2 linked regions of the Ovis aries genome follow. The protein of the gene in region 1 interacts with the protein of each later gene in a biochemical or structural test. Links are inferred from orthologs where the notes say so. Each region holds a gene or a part of one and is shown on either strand. Other genes may lie near its edges.

Region 1 (7,560 bases):
CACTTTGGTATCAGAATGGCCAATTCAGCATTTTGGTGTCAGAATTTTGAAAGAAAGTATTGTTTTTCTTGAAGGAAAATATTATTTACCTCAATAAGAGATTCCTTTATTTTAAAAAGGTGGTGTTTTGGTCGAGAAACAGATTCTTACTTTTTTGCTTTTGTTTTGTTTAGTACTGTACCAAAGAAAGGGGTTTTGTTCAATTTTAATTAATGAAAACAATAAAGTTTATGAGAAGTGGTAAAGGGCAATCCCCTGGGTAGTTGTAGTGCCGCTAGATTGTTTTTGAGAAGACACATCTGGTACATCATTGTTTTTACCTTATATCCTTGATAAATTTTCAGCCACAGTAGTTCTAGATTTTTATTCTTGCCTTTTTATAATAGCCTGCCTGTGGTATTTCTCGGGCAGATTTCTTTTTTCTTCTTTGATTTAAAGAATTGTGAATAAAATTATTAATACCCAACTACCTATTGAAAAATCAAGTGAACAAGCGATTTCTATCTTTTAGGGAAGACTAGCCTATATCTTTTAATTGTTCTAGGGTAAATTTGTCAGAATATGTTAAAAAACAAGTGACAGTTAATTTGCTTATTTAAGTTTTATACCTTTAAGAGGTCAATAGTGAGGTGATTTTTAAAATCCTCAATAAACTAATATACTAGTGCTGTAACTAAATCTAAGACTTCAATAAACTGAGTATATATCACTGTAGAAAAATCAAAGAAAGAAGAATGAGGACTTCCTGGTGGTCCAGGGGTTAAGACTTTGCCTTCCAATGCAGAGGGTACGAGTTCAGTCCCTGGTCGGGAAGCTAAGATCCCACATGTCGAGCCCAAAAAAAACCATAAAATAGAGGCAATATTGTAACAAATTCAGTAAAGACTTTATAAAAATGGTCCACATTTAAAAAAAAAAGGGGGGGGATGGTTGTTGAACTGGGATATTAAAGATCTAAGTTCTCATTCTGAATATCCTCTGATATCCTCTGTGATCTTGAGTGTATAGAGCTTCCTATGTCTGAGCCCCAGATCTCTGAGCTGTTAGATGGTGGCATTAGTTCTCATGCTGCCCTCCAAGGGTTGTTGGAAGGATCCTTTGAGATATGAGATGTGAAAACCTTTTGTAAGCTGTGACAGAAAGACTCTGTTGTTATGGTTGCCGTTACCAGATTAACACATCTTCAGGAATATATATTTAGATTTGAAGATATTTTAACACTTATTCTTATCCTTTCTTCAGCAAGTACTAAGTTTAAGTCTTGAAAATTAGAAAACTTGTTTGAAAATGGTGATGAATAACAGTATGCTATTGTTTGGTCAAAGATTAGTTTATCAGTAACCACAGAATTTAGGCCCTGGGCTTCAAAACATTCTCTCTATCCTTCAGTTTGAAATACTGTAGATGACAAGAAGTAGCTGGGCTTTACCAAAGTAGTTTTTAATTTCATGCTCCCAGGTGTTACATATAGATCCAGAGAAAAATCAGAAGAATATTAGCATTTTTCAGAGATCATTTGCCCTTACTGCCACTTGTGGAGAATTATGTATTAGGCAGAGGTTATCACAGCAGAGGCCGTTTTTGTCATTATTTGTCATTTTCCCCCTGTTTTATCCATTCTTGTCTCTCTCCTTGGGAGCGTGCTACTTTGGAGAAGAAGTTAACTCTGAGCAGAAAAGATTCCAGGTCTGCTGCTTCACCCTTGGCTGTTTTCCCACTTACCCGCATAAAACTGGAGTGTACTTAAGAGGTTGTGTGTGAAATTTTTGACGACAGACTGTTGGTTGTGGTCATTTAAGACCATATTAAGAATGTGTTTTAGGTTCCCCATCCCCACTTCTCTAATGCTCCCTGTGTTCCTGTTGTTGTGTGTTTGTGTTTGCCATACTTGCTGGTTGAGTTAATTGTAATGATTTTGATCCAGGGAAAAGACCCATCAACAAAATGGATTCTTCTGATCCCTTTAAACTGAATGATCCATTTCAGCCTTTCCCAGGCAATGATAGCCCCAAAGAAAAAGATCCTGATATGTTTTGCGATCCATTCACTTCTACTACTACCACTACCAATAAAGAGGCTGACCCAAGCAATTTTGCTAACTTCAGTGCTGTAAGTACTGTGAATGGGCTGTTTGGGGGAAAATCTTTCCATTTATAGTTTAAAGAGCTTTCAAAGATTATTTTTGAGTCTGCCAAATTTGCATTATTTCAGCTAAATTTACCAACATGTTAAAAATGATCTTTATTCTTCCCCCAACCAAGAAAACCTCTGTTTGATTCTGTCTGCTAGTTCTGAAATTATTGCATTGTTAAGATGATTTTAGTAGTCTTAGTTCTTGGGATATATACCAGGTGCTTTGCAAAACCTTGACAGTTATTATTTTGCAAATTGTTACAGACAGTGGGCCACTAGAGAGTCATTTGCTGTCTGCCCTCTGGATAAATAATGCCAATAATGAGTTTGTGTTATTTGTAACTGTGTATGTGTGTTTGTGTATAAAACCTTGAAAATTTCTGGAGACCAGTCAGCAATTACTGTATTATATAAGAAGATAGGACCAGAAATTCTTTGAATAGAAAATAAAACTCTGGTTTCATACAGAAATGTTCTTAAAATATAAATCAGTTTTATTAAATAAATATTTTTAAGAGCTAAACAATCTTTAATTATTTGGAAGACTCTAATTCACTAGCTTCCCATATCTACTCCACATTCTCCCAAAGCTTCCCTGATGGCTCAGTCAGGAAAGAATCTGCCTGCAGTGCTTGAGACCTAGATTCTATCCCTGGGTTGGGAAGATCTTCTGGAGAAGGAAAAGGTTATCCACTCCAGTATTCTAGCCTAGAGAAGTCTATGGACTGTATAGTCCATGAGGTCGCAAAGAGTTGGATATGACTGAGCGACTTTGATTCACTCACTCAGTTCACTAGCATTCCATACCTACTCTGCATTCTCCCAGAGCTGACTAGAGTAGGCCAATAAAGACAATAGAAGGGTGTGGTGTTAAGAGTATAGGCGGGTCTTATAAGATCATAGAAATGGGGCAACCAACTGGAAATATCACCCTGGTGGGGCATTAAGCAATGACGTGTATATCATCATCATGTAGATAAACGTAAATTTTTGTTTTAATTCTTAGAGTAACTAACTGTTTCATTTCCCAGGTTGCTTTTTTTTCTAGATAAAAATGACCTTCATTATCACTGTCTATTTTATAATAAAGCAGTTTTCCTCTACTTAACAACCTCAAGCCTTTGAGATGATTCTATAAATAAGAGATCTAGTGGCCAGCTGACTGACCACAGTCTGCCTAATGTCTCCCTCAGTGTAGCTTAGGGTCACTCTTCCGATCACTTTATTCCTGCAGCCATTTCTAGTTAGTAAAGCAGGTAGGCAGAATTAGACTAGGCTATTTAGCTTTTGAATCTGTACTCTTAAGTTTCAATGGCTTCTTCCAAATGTGAAGAGGCAGAGCAGGAATCAATATTTTAAATATTGGAAAACAGAAGGTGTCAGAATTATACTGACTCTTGTTAGATGGAATTTGAGTTGTTTCAAGGAGAGAACCCAGAATTGCTCTTCTTACTATAATGCTCTTAGTACAAAATAACCTTCTGGCAGTTTGTGGCACTTAATATCTTAAATATGATTTCAATAAGTCAAAACCTGGTTGGAATGAGTCTTGAACAAAAGCAATTTGCTTTTTTCATTTTCCAGAATCTCAGTATAGTATAATATTAAGCATCTAATAATAAAAATGTCTTTTTAAATGAAAGATTTGTTAAACATTAAAAGTTTCAAAGATCTTATAATTCCCTAGAAAGAAAGCTACCATTTTCAAAAAAGCCTGACAGTTTCTTTCTTTTCATCCTGTTTGTTATGGTATTCATCCTATTATGGTGTTCTTCTATATGACAGGACTTGAAACCAAGTAGAATGTTTTTATTTAGTATCTGCCACGGTTGCTATTTGGGGTGGATACATATATTTCCTTGACTTATTAATTACCAGCATTAAGGTCTTATTTAGAATGGGTCAAAAAGTTCTCAATACCTTCTAAAATCATTATAATGCATTAAAAAAATTGATTAGGTCCACATCTTGCTTGGTATATACCCAGGACTCTTGTTTTATGTATAACAAAATTTATGTATAGTATATTCTTTGCTTTATAATTTTCCTGTACCTGAAGGGCTAGAATAAGATAGGAAATTGCCAGTGGGATTAAGTTAAAAATGATGTATCATGTGAGGATGCTCACTGAAGTTGAAGTAGTAAATGTTTTACATTAGATAAATATGCTAGTTCTCTCCTGTTTTTAAATCTGTTCCACCTTAAGAATAACCACTTTTTACAAATGATGTTTTAATGTTCAGTTTTATAGACTCTCTATCTGTAGACTGCATTGCTTTTAAGATTAAATCATATTTTGATTTAATTTTTAAGTTTAAATTTAAAGTTTTAAGTTTAAACTAATTAAACTTGTTTTTGGGGGGAAAAAAAAAATCAAGACTTTTTCCAGAGCCCTTCAGGTGAAACACATAGTTCAATTTCCTTTTGTGAAAGCTGTTTTTCCTTCTTTTCTTTGTACTTGTTTTACTCATGAATGTATTCATTTGTTTGTTCATTTATCTTTTAAATGGCAGTATCCCTCTGAGGAAGATATGATTGAGTGGGCCAAGAGAGAAAGTGAGAGAGAGGAAGAGCAGAGACTTGCCCGACTGAATCAGCAAGAGCAAGAAGACTTAGAACTGGCTATTGCACTCAGCAAATCTGAAATATCAGAAGCATGAAGAAATCTCCTGTTCTTCGTCAACCACACAACACTCTCCTTCTTGAATACTGAAGCTATTTACAATGTGTATCAAACCTACCTGTGAGCATGGGAATACAAAAGGTTTGAGATTCCTGTAAATGTGACAAAAGTTTTGGCTTTTTAAACTCCATTTCAGATTTGTCTTTTTTTTCCCCCTGTGCAAGTGGTAACCCAGATGACTTCACCTAGGCCCCTGCTCTGGTGTGCATTTAGTGTGAGCTGTTGCCTGCCTGTGCCTCTCTTACTTGTAAAGCTAGAGCACCCAAGTTTCTGCCTTCTGGAATATAGAGAAATAGTTTCACCCCTATGCTACCCTTATTCTGTAGTTACTCTAATGATAGCCAGTGGGGTTCTTAAAGTTGGCAGTATTCTCCCCTAATTTAAATGGTTGAAAGAGGGGAAGGGAAAGAACAGCCTATTTCTTTTATGATAGAGCAAATTGGCCAGTTTAAAGTACATGTTTGTATTTCCTTTTAATCAAAATACTGTTCAATTTGTTTTTTATAGACAAGAAAAAATATTTTGCATACATTGACTCCCACTGTTGAAAACAGGATGTTTTAGATGGAACCATTAGAGCTTCAGACTCAATCTTTTCCTAAATAAAAATATTAAAGCCTCATGTCTGAAATAAATTAAAAAAATTTTTTTCTGGATTTAAAGAATTTTAGATAAACAGATACCTCTCCATGATTTTAAGTACTTAGAGAATGAAGAAAAATTTTCACCTAAAATATACTCATCAATATAAGATAAGCAAAAATCTTAACCTGGCAGCCATTCTGCCATTGCCATGGCACTGTCCTCTTTAGTTCATGGTAGGTTTATTTTTTTACTTTTGTAGAAGAAACTTTAGTAAGCTAGAACTGGAAGGTACTTTAACTTTTTGTATATATATTTTTTTGTTTTCTTTAATGAAGGCTCAATTACTTGAAATGTAAAAACATTCTCTGAATACAGATGAAAAAAGTGACATGTATTAAATCATTATTGCTTTGTGTCCATCTTTGTGGATTAAAATAGTCTATTCTTTTTGTGTTTTTCACCTACAAAATTGGCAAGCTAGCAAAACTTTTTTTTTGTTTTTTTAAATTGGGAGAGAGGAGACCTGCCCAGTTATCAGATCTCTTTATGTGTTAAAAGCCTATCTTCTGCAAAACTGACTTAGCAGACAAGCTGAATTTAAAATGGACTGTGAAGTAGGCTGTAAATTGTAGAGTAATCTAAATTTTTTTAACATCAGTTACTGACTTAAATAATGTGTTGAAAACCAAGATAAAGGAAAATGCACCTAAAGAGTAATTAAATGTGTCTGTGGTCACCAAGTCAAGGTGGTATTGATCTGTGTTAATCAGAGTAACTTATTGCCTAGCTTATGAATAAATTCCAGAATATCCAATTATTTCATTTTGAAATGGTGCTTTTTTTCTCTCCACACACAATTGGATTACTGCAGTTCAAAATGAATTTAAACTACTTTCTTGCATTGCTTTTTTCTACTTTTATAAATTAAAGCATTTCAGCATGAAAGTCATACAGACAAAGCAAGGGCTGAATCATAATCACCGGGCTTTAATATTGATAAACTAATCCATTTATAAGGATATACTCCAAAAGTTGATTGAGAAGGTAGTGTTGGGAGTTGTAAATGGTAGTGGGTTTTGGGTTTTTTTTCTTCCCCTTCCACTTTAGGAAAAAGGTAAGTTGACTTGAACAACCTTCTTTTGCACTGGGAAAATGAGCAGATGTTTGAAATGGTTTTAAAATATTTTTTTTTAATTAAAAGAACACTCTGGAAAGTACTAAATATCTGTAACTTATAAACACCAACTTTCAGTGTACCTTAATCTTATGTGTGTTTAACTGGATTGCATAGATTCTTATCTTTTGTTAAAATATGTATACTCAGTGGACCAATATGATATTAAAGTATGTATATATTATATAAATATATATATATATCTAAACCTCCATGCTCACTTGAGTAGGATGAATGTCTTAGAGTCATTTATGATCATATTTTATGTTGTTGACTCTGGCTCCAGTGCCTGTGATGGAAAAGGACAGATGAGTATTCCTGAGAGCTAAGTAGCACTTATTACAAGGTTTTAACCATCTTCTACCTACTTGTTCAGATTTATTTGAGTTCTTTATAGAATTTTCTCTTATGTTTCAAACTTCTAAACTGTAGCCTGTAATTATGAGAACAATAAACTTTAAGTAATAATAAACCGTAGTCTCCATACATCCTATCTGACATGGAGTTTTGCGTGATTCTGTGTTATGTTCTTGCTGTGTCCATGGAAGGGTAGACATGCAATCAGCACAGATGAATTATGTGTAAAGTGCTTGAGACACAGTGCCTGGTATAGAATACCCAATGAATGTTAACTTGTTTTTAGTTGACACCTATTTTGTGAAAGAAAGATAGGAAATGTATGCATATGAGGATTTGTGACTCTTGGAAGGCACTGTGGTGTCAAAAATTCATGCAACCCTGGTCTGCCACTTTTAGGAAAGAAGACTTTGACAAAGATATTTAGCCTCCCTTAGCTTTAGCCACCTGATGCAAAGAACTGACTCATTTGAAAAGACCCTGATGCTGGGAAAGACTGAAGGCTGGAGGAGAAGGGGACGACAGAGGATGAGATGGTTGGATGGCATCACTGACTCAATGGACATGAGTTTGAGTAGACTCCGAGAGTTAGTGATGGACAGGGAGGCCTGGTGTGCTGCACTCCATG
Region 2 (8,303 bases), on another chromosome or scaffold:
TGATTTTCAGACCGGAAGCATATTCTTTGATACCACCAAATAATACTTTTTGCTACATATAGCAGCTGCCCAAATGCTTGAGTCCTAGCATCTACAGAGGATTATGGGGAGTTGGGGAAGTAGAGACTGACCACAATGAGAGTGTGATACAGCAGGTATTCACATGGAAACAGTCTTGTATTTGTTTACTCCAATTTAAAATTTGACTTCTGTATGCTTTTCTTCAAGAGAGCCTGTTGTCCAGGCCTGCTTTATGACTTAACATCTTGTCAAACTTAAGTTTGTTTAGACCCTTCTGACTCTGCCACTCCTGAAGTCCTCTGTCCCCGCCTCACTGGCCAGAAAGCAAACAAACATTGAAAACAGTGCACTATTATTCGTTAAAAGACCTCACATTAAGAGTTCATAGGTACTGGGGGGTTTTGTTTTGTTTAGTTTTGTTCAGTGTTTTAATTACTACATGAGAATAGTAGATATACCATGTGACATGTAGTAGATTATTAAACCCTTTATTTATCTGAAAAACAGGAGATCTGAGCCCTGCTTCTAACCTGTCTTTTGAGATACATAGGGAAGTAGATGGGTAAAATGACCCAGGAGGTTTTTGGGGTTCCTTAGTGATGTGAGCTCAAATTATTTGAAGACATTGCCCTAAGGTCCTCATTCTCCTGTTTTCTTGAGCTGATACAGATAAGACAGCTGATGGTTCGTCAGTGGCCCCTGGCAACATTGTCACCTCCCCATCCTCTCCCACCTCTCCCACTCTGGATGCCACTGCCTCTCTGGAGATGAACAATCCTCACGCCATCCCACGCCGGCATGCACCAATTGAACAACTTGCTCGCCAAGGCTCTTTCCGAGGATTTCCTGCTCTTAGCCAGAAGATGTCACCCTTTAAACGCCAACTGTCCCTGCGCATCAATGAGTTGCCTTCCACTATGCAGAGGAAGACTGATTTCCCCATAAAACACACAGGTAACATGGCATCCCCAACTCCCCGGGGCTCAGGCACTGAAGCGTTACATCACCTCCAGTGGAGTCCCTGATCCCATCAAACTATCCACCCCTCTTCTGAGGCTGTTTGGTGGCTGTGCATAGCTTGTATCATTTCCCATTGGCAGAAAATGGAGGTTCACAGAGAGAGATGGGAGTTGTTCATTTATTTTCAGCAATAGGTTAACAGAGCCATGATGGAAATTCCTAGTCCAAGTTACATGGTTTGTGATTTGTCCTGATGAAAGTGTACCTGCTTTCAGACATCAAGGGTCTCAAGTTTCCCTTCTTCTTCTGCCATTTGGGACCCAGCAGGGAGTTAATTTAAAAGGCTTTGGAAACACATCCAGTTAAATAGCACCACTGTCAGATGTACCAGAAGAAATGGATAAGTTCTCTTTGTCCTTGTGGCTGGTTGGCTCCATAGGGAGGAAACTCTAAACAGGTCTCCTGTATAAATCTAAGATCTGTTGTTCATCAGAGACAGTGGGATTGCTCACACATATTCATTACCTTTCAGAGCTGTCACACAGGCCTTTGTGTGGCCTTTGTACAGCTGAGCCAACCCCAGTAGCTCTATCCTCATCATAAGATCCGAAGCTTAAGTGTCAGATCCGGTCAGTGCTTTTATTGGGCCCTATTTTACTTTGCTCTCAGACATGTTGAGCCAGTGCTATAACAGAATCTGAGGAAGCCGTGTCTCAATAGGGCACTCTTACTGCTGGTGGCACAAAAGCACAGAGATTTAGGTTCTTTGATGGATAAAACTCGGCCTAAAGAACAGTTAAACTAGATCATTACTGAGGGTCTTGCCCCCTCTCAACTCCTATGAAAACCAAAACTCCAGATGCTTCAAGTACCTCATTTTCAATCTCCCTCTGGAGCAGGCGGGTAACAAAACCATTATTCTCTTTTCACAGTTGAGCAGACAGAGCTTCAACACATATAATTAGCTTCCTCCGTGACATAGAAGTATTCCAGAGTCAATATTAAGAACAAAGCCGCTAGAGTCCTGGACCTCAGTTCACTTTTTCATGTTAACACTTTGGAGAAAGATGACAGTGATGACACTGTCATAGTTTATGACAGAGAAAAGGACTGAGTGCCCACTGGTGCCCCTGACTTTAACCCATTTATCTCAAAAGAGTCACTGGGGGCCTCTCAAACTTAACTCACATCACCGGCTTGGGACCTGGTTGGAAGACAAACAGGTTGCATGTGTCTTCTAGAAAAATCTCACTGGCACAAAAAGAGAACAGCATGTTTTCAACAGTGTCACACAGGAGAGGAAATACAGAAATCTGGGGATTTGCAAGGGAGGAAGGTAGGCCTTAGTACAGGAATTGTTAGCATTCTGTACCTTCTCATGTAAAAAGCTAGTGAATAGTGGTAAGTTTTTTGAAGTTGCTTTTATAGCCCCACCTGAGTCTTTTTCTTCCACAAATAACAGAGGCAGAGTAAAATGCCACCTCACGTGACACTGTTCTGTTCCAGACTTGTTCCGTTTTTCTGTCTGGAGCCATCTTCTGTCTGTCTTGCAGTGCCAGAGGTAGATGGCGAAGCAGAGAGCATCAGCTCGCTGTGCTCACAGATCACCAATGCCTTCAGCACACCCTCTGAGGATCCCTTCTCATCCGCCCCAATGACCAAACCAGTGACAGTGGTGGCACCACAGTCTCCTGCCTTTCAAGGTTGGTGCTCACTTAGCCTGCGATTCTCTTTGAAACTAATACTTTTATGACACTGATCACTAGTGTAAGTTGGCATCCTGAGCTTCCCACGATCTGGTCAGACCCCCTGCATTTCCCTGTTTGATACTGTCTCAGGCTCATTACATTTCCCTGTGTGACAGTGTCTTTGTTCCCTTCCTGTTGCCTGAGATTGTCTGCATTTTGCATGTGCCTGCCCTCCTTTCACTCCATCCTGTCAGGAGCATCAGTAGTCCCAACCCACTGCTTTGCTACTTAACTGTTAAGAGACAAAGCACCCAACCAGTTCTCCAGAAACAGCAGTCATCAGAGTTGGTTCTAGCTTCATGCTTTCTTTACCACAGTAAAGAAAGCTGGGGTGATTTTGCCCCCTTGGGGAAAAATTTAGCATCCATTGTCTGGATATGTTTTGGGTTTTGTGGTGTGGCAGAGGGTGGTTATTACTGACATCCCAGTGGAGGCCAGGGAGGCCCATAAACATCCTTCCATGTACACAGTAGCCACCTCACAACAGAGAACAATCAGGCCCAAAATATCTATGGTGCCAAGACTGGACTCACCTAGTCTTTGCCCTTTCATAAGAGTCCCGTAAAGAAAAAGGCACTTCTCTTGGCTCTTCACTTCATTTCATCTTCTATAGCAAGGATCCTAAAACTAGTCTTTGTGGCATTGAAGAATTAGTAAAAGTTGTTTTCAGAGATACTGAATTAACTCAGTTGACTCAAATTAACTGAATTGACTCAAAAATCACTGCAGATGGTGATTGCAGCCATGAAATTAAAAGACCCTTACTCCTTGGAAGGAAAGTTATAACCAACCTAGACAGCATATTGAAAAGCTGAGATATTACTTTGCCAACAAAGGTCCGTCTAGTCAAGGCTATGGTTTTTCCAGCGGTCATTTATGGATGTGAGAGTTGGACTGTGAAGAAAGCTGAGCGTCGAAGAATTGATGCTTTGGAACTATGGTGTTGGAGAAGACTCTTGAGAGTCCCTTGGACTGCACGGAGATCCAACCAGTCCATCCTGAAGGAGATCAGTCCTGGGTGTTCATTGGAGGGACTGATGTTGAAGCTGAAACTCCAATACTTTGGCCACCTCATGCGTAGAGTTGACTCATTGGAAAAGATTCTGATGCTGGGAGGGACTGATGGCAGGAGGAGAAGGGGATGACAGAGGATGAGATGGCTGGATGGTATCACTGACTCAATGGACATGAGTCTGAGTGAACTCCGGGAGTTGGTGAACTCAGGGAGGCCTGGCGCGCTGCGATTCATGGGGTCGCAGAGAGTCAGACACGACTGAGCGACTGAACTGAACTGATTGACTCAAAGGTCAACAAAGAGCCTGTATAACTTAAATTACAGATGTTAGAATTTGAGCTCATATAATTGATCTTTCTTCATTTCTTTTGGGAGAGAGCTCAGAAGAAGTTTTGCTGTGCAGGCGTTTTTTTGCCTGCACCTGTTGAAAGCTGCAACATGCTTTTCCTCCAGGAGGGAGTCTCTTTAAAAACAAAACAAAACCTTAATATTCATATGCATCAGGTGGCATTTCATCTAACAGATACTTATACTGCCAACAATAACAGGTACTATTTATTGGGCACTTAGCATCATGTCTGCCACGTACATCATGGTAAGGACTCTTGCATTTTCCTCATCTCATTTAATCCTCACAATAGTCCTTTGAGATAGGCATCACAGATAAGGGAAATTAGGCTCAGAAAGGTTAAGTGAACTGCCCAAATCACACAGCCAGGATGTAAACCCAAGTCTTTCTGAATATAGTTCCTATTATATTCAGCTGACTTTGTGCCTATTTACAGGGTAGTGGGTATACAAAACTATAAATAGAATATAGTCCTTTTCCTGCCTTTAGAGGACTTGCAGTTTTTGGATAAGCTAGTCTTTTAGGCAAGCCCTGGGTCAATAGCACCAATGCCATAAGCATAGTTGCCAAGTCCTAAAGAGAGAGTGATTATGGTGTAAGGCAGGAGAAGGTGCCTGCTTGTCTGCTCTATACCAAGTATAGAGAGCTAGGCAAAGGAGTAGAAACTGATGGGATAGCCATCTGGAGTAAAGGAGCAAGGACTGGATTTTATTAAAGGGAGACAGGAAACAAGAGTGAGTGCCTTAAGACATTACAAACATTACTGAAGGGGAAAAAGTCTTAAAAAGATGAAATTAATTCTGTAGCAAATTATAAATTAAGCAAATGAAAACACGTTTGATTTCTCAACTGTAATATGGGGTTTTTGAGAGAATTTATTGAGATGATCGGAGAAGGCAATGGCAACCCACTCCAGTACTCTTGCCTGGAAAATCCCGTGGATGGAGGAGCTTGAGATGATGCATGCTAAAACACTATTAGAGCCTAGCACAGAGTAAAGAGGACTGTGTCAACCACTACTGGCATAATCTGATCTTTTGAAATAGTGATAGATGACACTTTATCATTATGCCAAAGGCTAAGCTGGCTAGAATAGATTTTTGCTGCTTGTAATACAAAGCAGTTCTTTTTAACTTAATTTGAAATTGTTTTTCGAGTCTTCATTACCTCTTACCCCATAAACATGTTTTTCTAAAAGAGTCATTTAATTTTATCAGTACACCCATTTTAATTACAGCCTCTGATTCTCTTTGCCAAAAGGTTTGTGTATTCATTGCAGATGGCATGGTTATCCCACACCAACTTTTCTGTCTTATCTTTTCACCAGTATTGCATATTGGCCTGACTGACCCGGCTCCAAGGGGTCACCTGTACACCCTGCATGAATTAACTCCATCAATGTTGTCTGCTCCCATTGTAGCTAATGGCACTGACTCAGCCTTCCATGTGCTTGCTGCTAAGCCAGCCCCTACTGCTCTAGCACCCGTAGCAATGCCTGTGCGCGAAACCAACCCTTGGGCCTATGCCCCTGATGCTGCTAACAAGGGAATTGCAGCCACACATTCGGGTAAGGTGACCACAGATGCTGGTGAGGATTCTGGGATCAGATAAGTGACCTTGGTTTGAAAATCAGCCATTTACCTTAGTGGGAACCAGGAAGGAGTCCTTTTAGGAAAAGTGGGATCCCTTTTGGAAATAAACTACTAATAAGGAAGGATGGTGTCAGAGAGGAGCTCTTAGAGGTGAGATTGATAATTCTTAGGACCCTAGAGCCACCCACAGAGCTTTCATAAGACACAGAGTCCTGGGCCCTCCCTTGCAGGAGCCTGTGTCTGGGTCTAGATCAGTGGACATGCCTGTAGGAAGAGACAACTCTGCCTCCTACAATAGCAGGCCTACAAAAAAAGGCTACAGAAAGGCAGTTCACCAGGAAGACATGTGTCTGGAAGGCGGGCAGCAAGTCCCTGGTTATTCTCATTCTGTTAGAGCAGAAAGTGAATCACCTCAGCTCTTTAGAGTATGTGCAAGCTGGTTTCTGGACCATAGATGAGCCACACCAGTGGGGGCAGGGTTCTGATGCCAGCCAGCAGCTTCAGTTTTGTGCAGTTGAGCCATCTCTGGCACCTTCCAGACACGGCTGAGGTAAACGACAGACGCACAGCTGAGGTCTCCTGGGTTCTCCCTGTCCTCCCACGAAACCTCTTCAGCTGGTAATAGAGACTTTGCTCCCACCTACCAAAACCACAGACCATCCCCCTGGGGGGGCTTGTTCCACGTTAGGATTATTCAAATAATGGAGATTATCAGGTGAAGAAAAAAGCCCCTGAAGATCCTGATTCTTCCCTGTCTTCCTCTTGTTGCTTCCAGGGACCGAGTGGGGCCAGTCTTCCGGTGCTGTCTCTCCAGGTCTCTTCCAGGCTGGTCACAGACGCACTCCCTCCGAGGCCGACCGCTGGTTGGAGGAGGTGTCCAAGAGCGTCCGGGCTCAGCAGCCCCAGGCCTCAGCTGCCCCTCTGCAGCCGGTCCTCCAGCCGCCCCCACCCACTGCCATCGCCCAGCCAGTGCCACCTTTCCAAGGAAATACATTCCTCACCTCTCAGCCCGTGCCAGTGGGCGTGGTCCCACCCCTGCAGCCAGCCTTTGTCGCTGCCCAGTCCTATCCTGTGGCTAACGGGATGACCTATCCAGCCCCTAACGTGCCTGTGGTGGGCATCACTCCCTCCCAGATGGTTGCCAACGTGTTTGGCACTGCAGGCCACCCACAGGCTGCCCAGCCCCATCAGTCTCCCAGCCTGGTCAAGCAGCAGACATTCCCACAGTATGAGACAAGCAGTGCTGCTGCCAGTCCCTTCTTTAAGCCTCCTGCTCAGCACCTCAACGGTTCTGCAGCTCTCAATGGTGTAGACGACAGCAGGTTGGCCTCGGGAGACAAGCAGACTGAGGCTCCTGCAGGCACCTGCACGGTGGATCCCTTTGAGGCCCAGTGGGCGGCCTTGGAAAGCAAGTCCAAGCAGCGTACTAACCCCTCCCCCACCAACCCCTTCTCCAGTGATTTACAGAAGACTTTTGAAATTGAACTTTAAGCAGTCCTTATGGCTTATGTATTTTGTCTGTACTTAGGCCCGGGTAGGGGGGTGGAGGTCAGAGGAGCAAAGGGGACTTTGCATTCCCAACCAGTAAGCTTTTCACTAATCCCAAAGGTCCCCAAGGGCATGTCCAGGCATAGCATGTGGATGGGGGTGATTGAAAAAGGTGGAGAGACCCATTCCTAGGGAAGAGCTGTTTTGCAGTTAGACTAAGAAAGTCAAGGACCTGTCCTCTGTCCCGCCTCCCTCAGCCCCTTACCAGTCTCTGGCAGCAGAGAAGCAGAAGTATCTGAACAGGAATCTGTATTCAAAGCACATTTACTGGAATATAAAACACAACGGGAAGCCAAACGATCTCCCTTCGTTTTTCAGGCCTTTCACCTACCTGCTTTCTCAGCACTAGCCTTCTTAAAGATCAAGAACAGGGTGGCCTGTGCTGGGACTGGGGAAGAGAGGCAGGCTGTGCTGCTGGAACTCCCAGCAGGGCCTGTCAGGAGCTGCCCAGCAGAGCTGTGTTTTAGGGGTAAAGTTGAGCTTCCATTTTGAGTAAGAATAAATATTATAAATATATATCAAAAAGCCAAAATCTTTATTTTTATGCATTTAGAATATTTTAAATAGTTCTCACTATTAAAAAGTTGTATGAGTTGTAAGTAATCTTGCCAAAGGTAAAAAGGTTAGCTGTAAGAAATTGTACATAAGATTGGTTTATCATTGATGCCTATTGAAGTAAAAAAAGAGGAAGGGCTGGAAGTGGCAGGTGGGATCCCTAGCTCACTTGGTATCACTTACTGTAAGTAGCACACTGCAACAACAATCATGCTTATGACCAGTATGGTCAGCTAGGTAGTAGTTTTAAATAAAGAGCAAGCAGTATTGTCTTGGTTTTACACCTGTAATGTCATTATTTTAATGGGTTCAATCTAAATAGAAAATGTCTTGTCTTTTCTATACTGCTGCAGTTTCCTTATGTTAATCCTTTAACACTAAGGTGACAATGATGTAATCATATCCATGAGACGGGAACGCAGGTTACCGTGTTGGTTTGTCATGTAGGTCTTGGTGGGTTTTGTTTTGTCCTTTTAAGTTTTGTTCCCACGAGTTTTGTGGGGATGGAGGTCCTA

Evidence for each region.
Region 2: the proteins of EPS15 (region 1) and NUMB form a complex in vitro, tested with the Homo sapiens proteins (2 studies listed by BioGRID and IntAct, with this or other methods). The link is inferred for Ovis aries from reciprocal best matches to the Homo sapiens genes EPS15 and NUMB.

What each region holds. Positions count from the first base shown.
Region 1 is NC_056054.1:25,790,718-25,798,277, reverse strand, and holds the end of EPS15 (epidermal growth factor receptor substrate 15), read left to right. Parts: intron 1-1,924; coding exon 1,925-2,109; intron 2,110-4,646; coding exon 4,647-4,793; 3' UTR 4,794-7,047; downstream 7,048-7,560. UniProt on the Homo sapiens protein: Involved in cell growth regulation. May be involved in the regulation of mitogenic signals and control of cell proliferation. Involved in the internalization of ligand-inducible receptors of the receptor tyrosine kinase (RTK) type, in particular EGFR.
Region 2 is NC_056060.1:82,820,323-82,828,625, reverse strand, and holds part of NUMB (protein numb homolog), read left to right. Parts: intron 1-681; coding exon 682-975; intron 976-2,534; coding exon 2,535-2,684; intron 2,685-5,513; coding exon 5,514-5,660; intron 5,661-6,460; coding exon 6,461-7,176; 3' UTR 7,177-8,303. UniProt on the Homo sapiens protein: Regulates clathrin-mediated receptor endocytosis. Plays a role in the process of neurogenesis.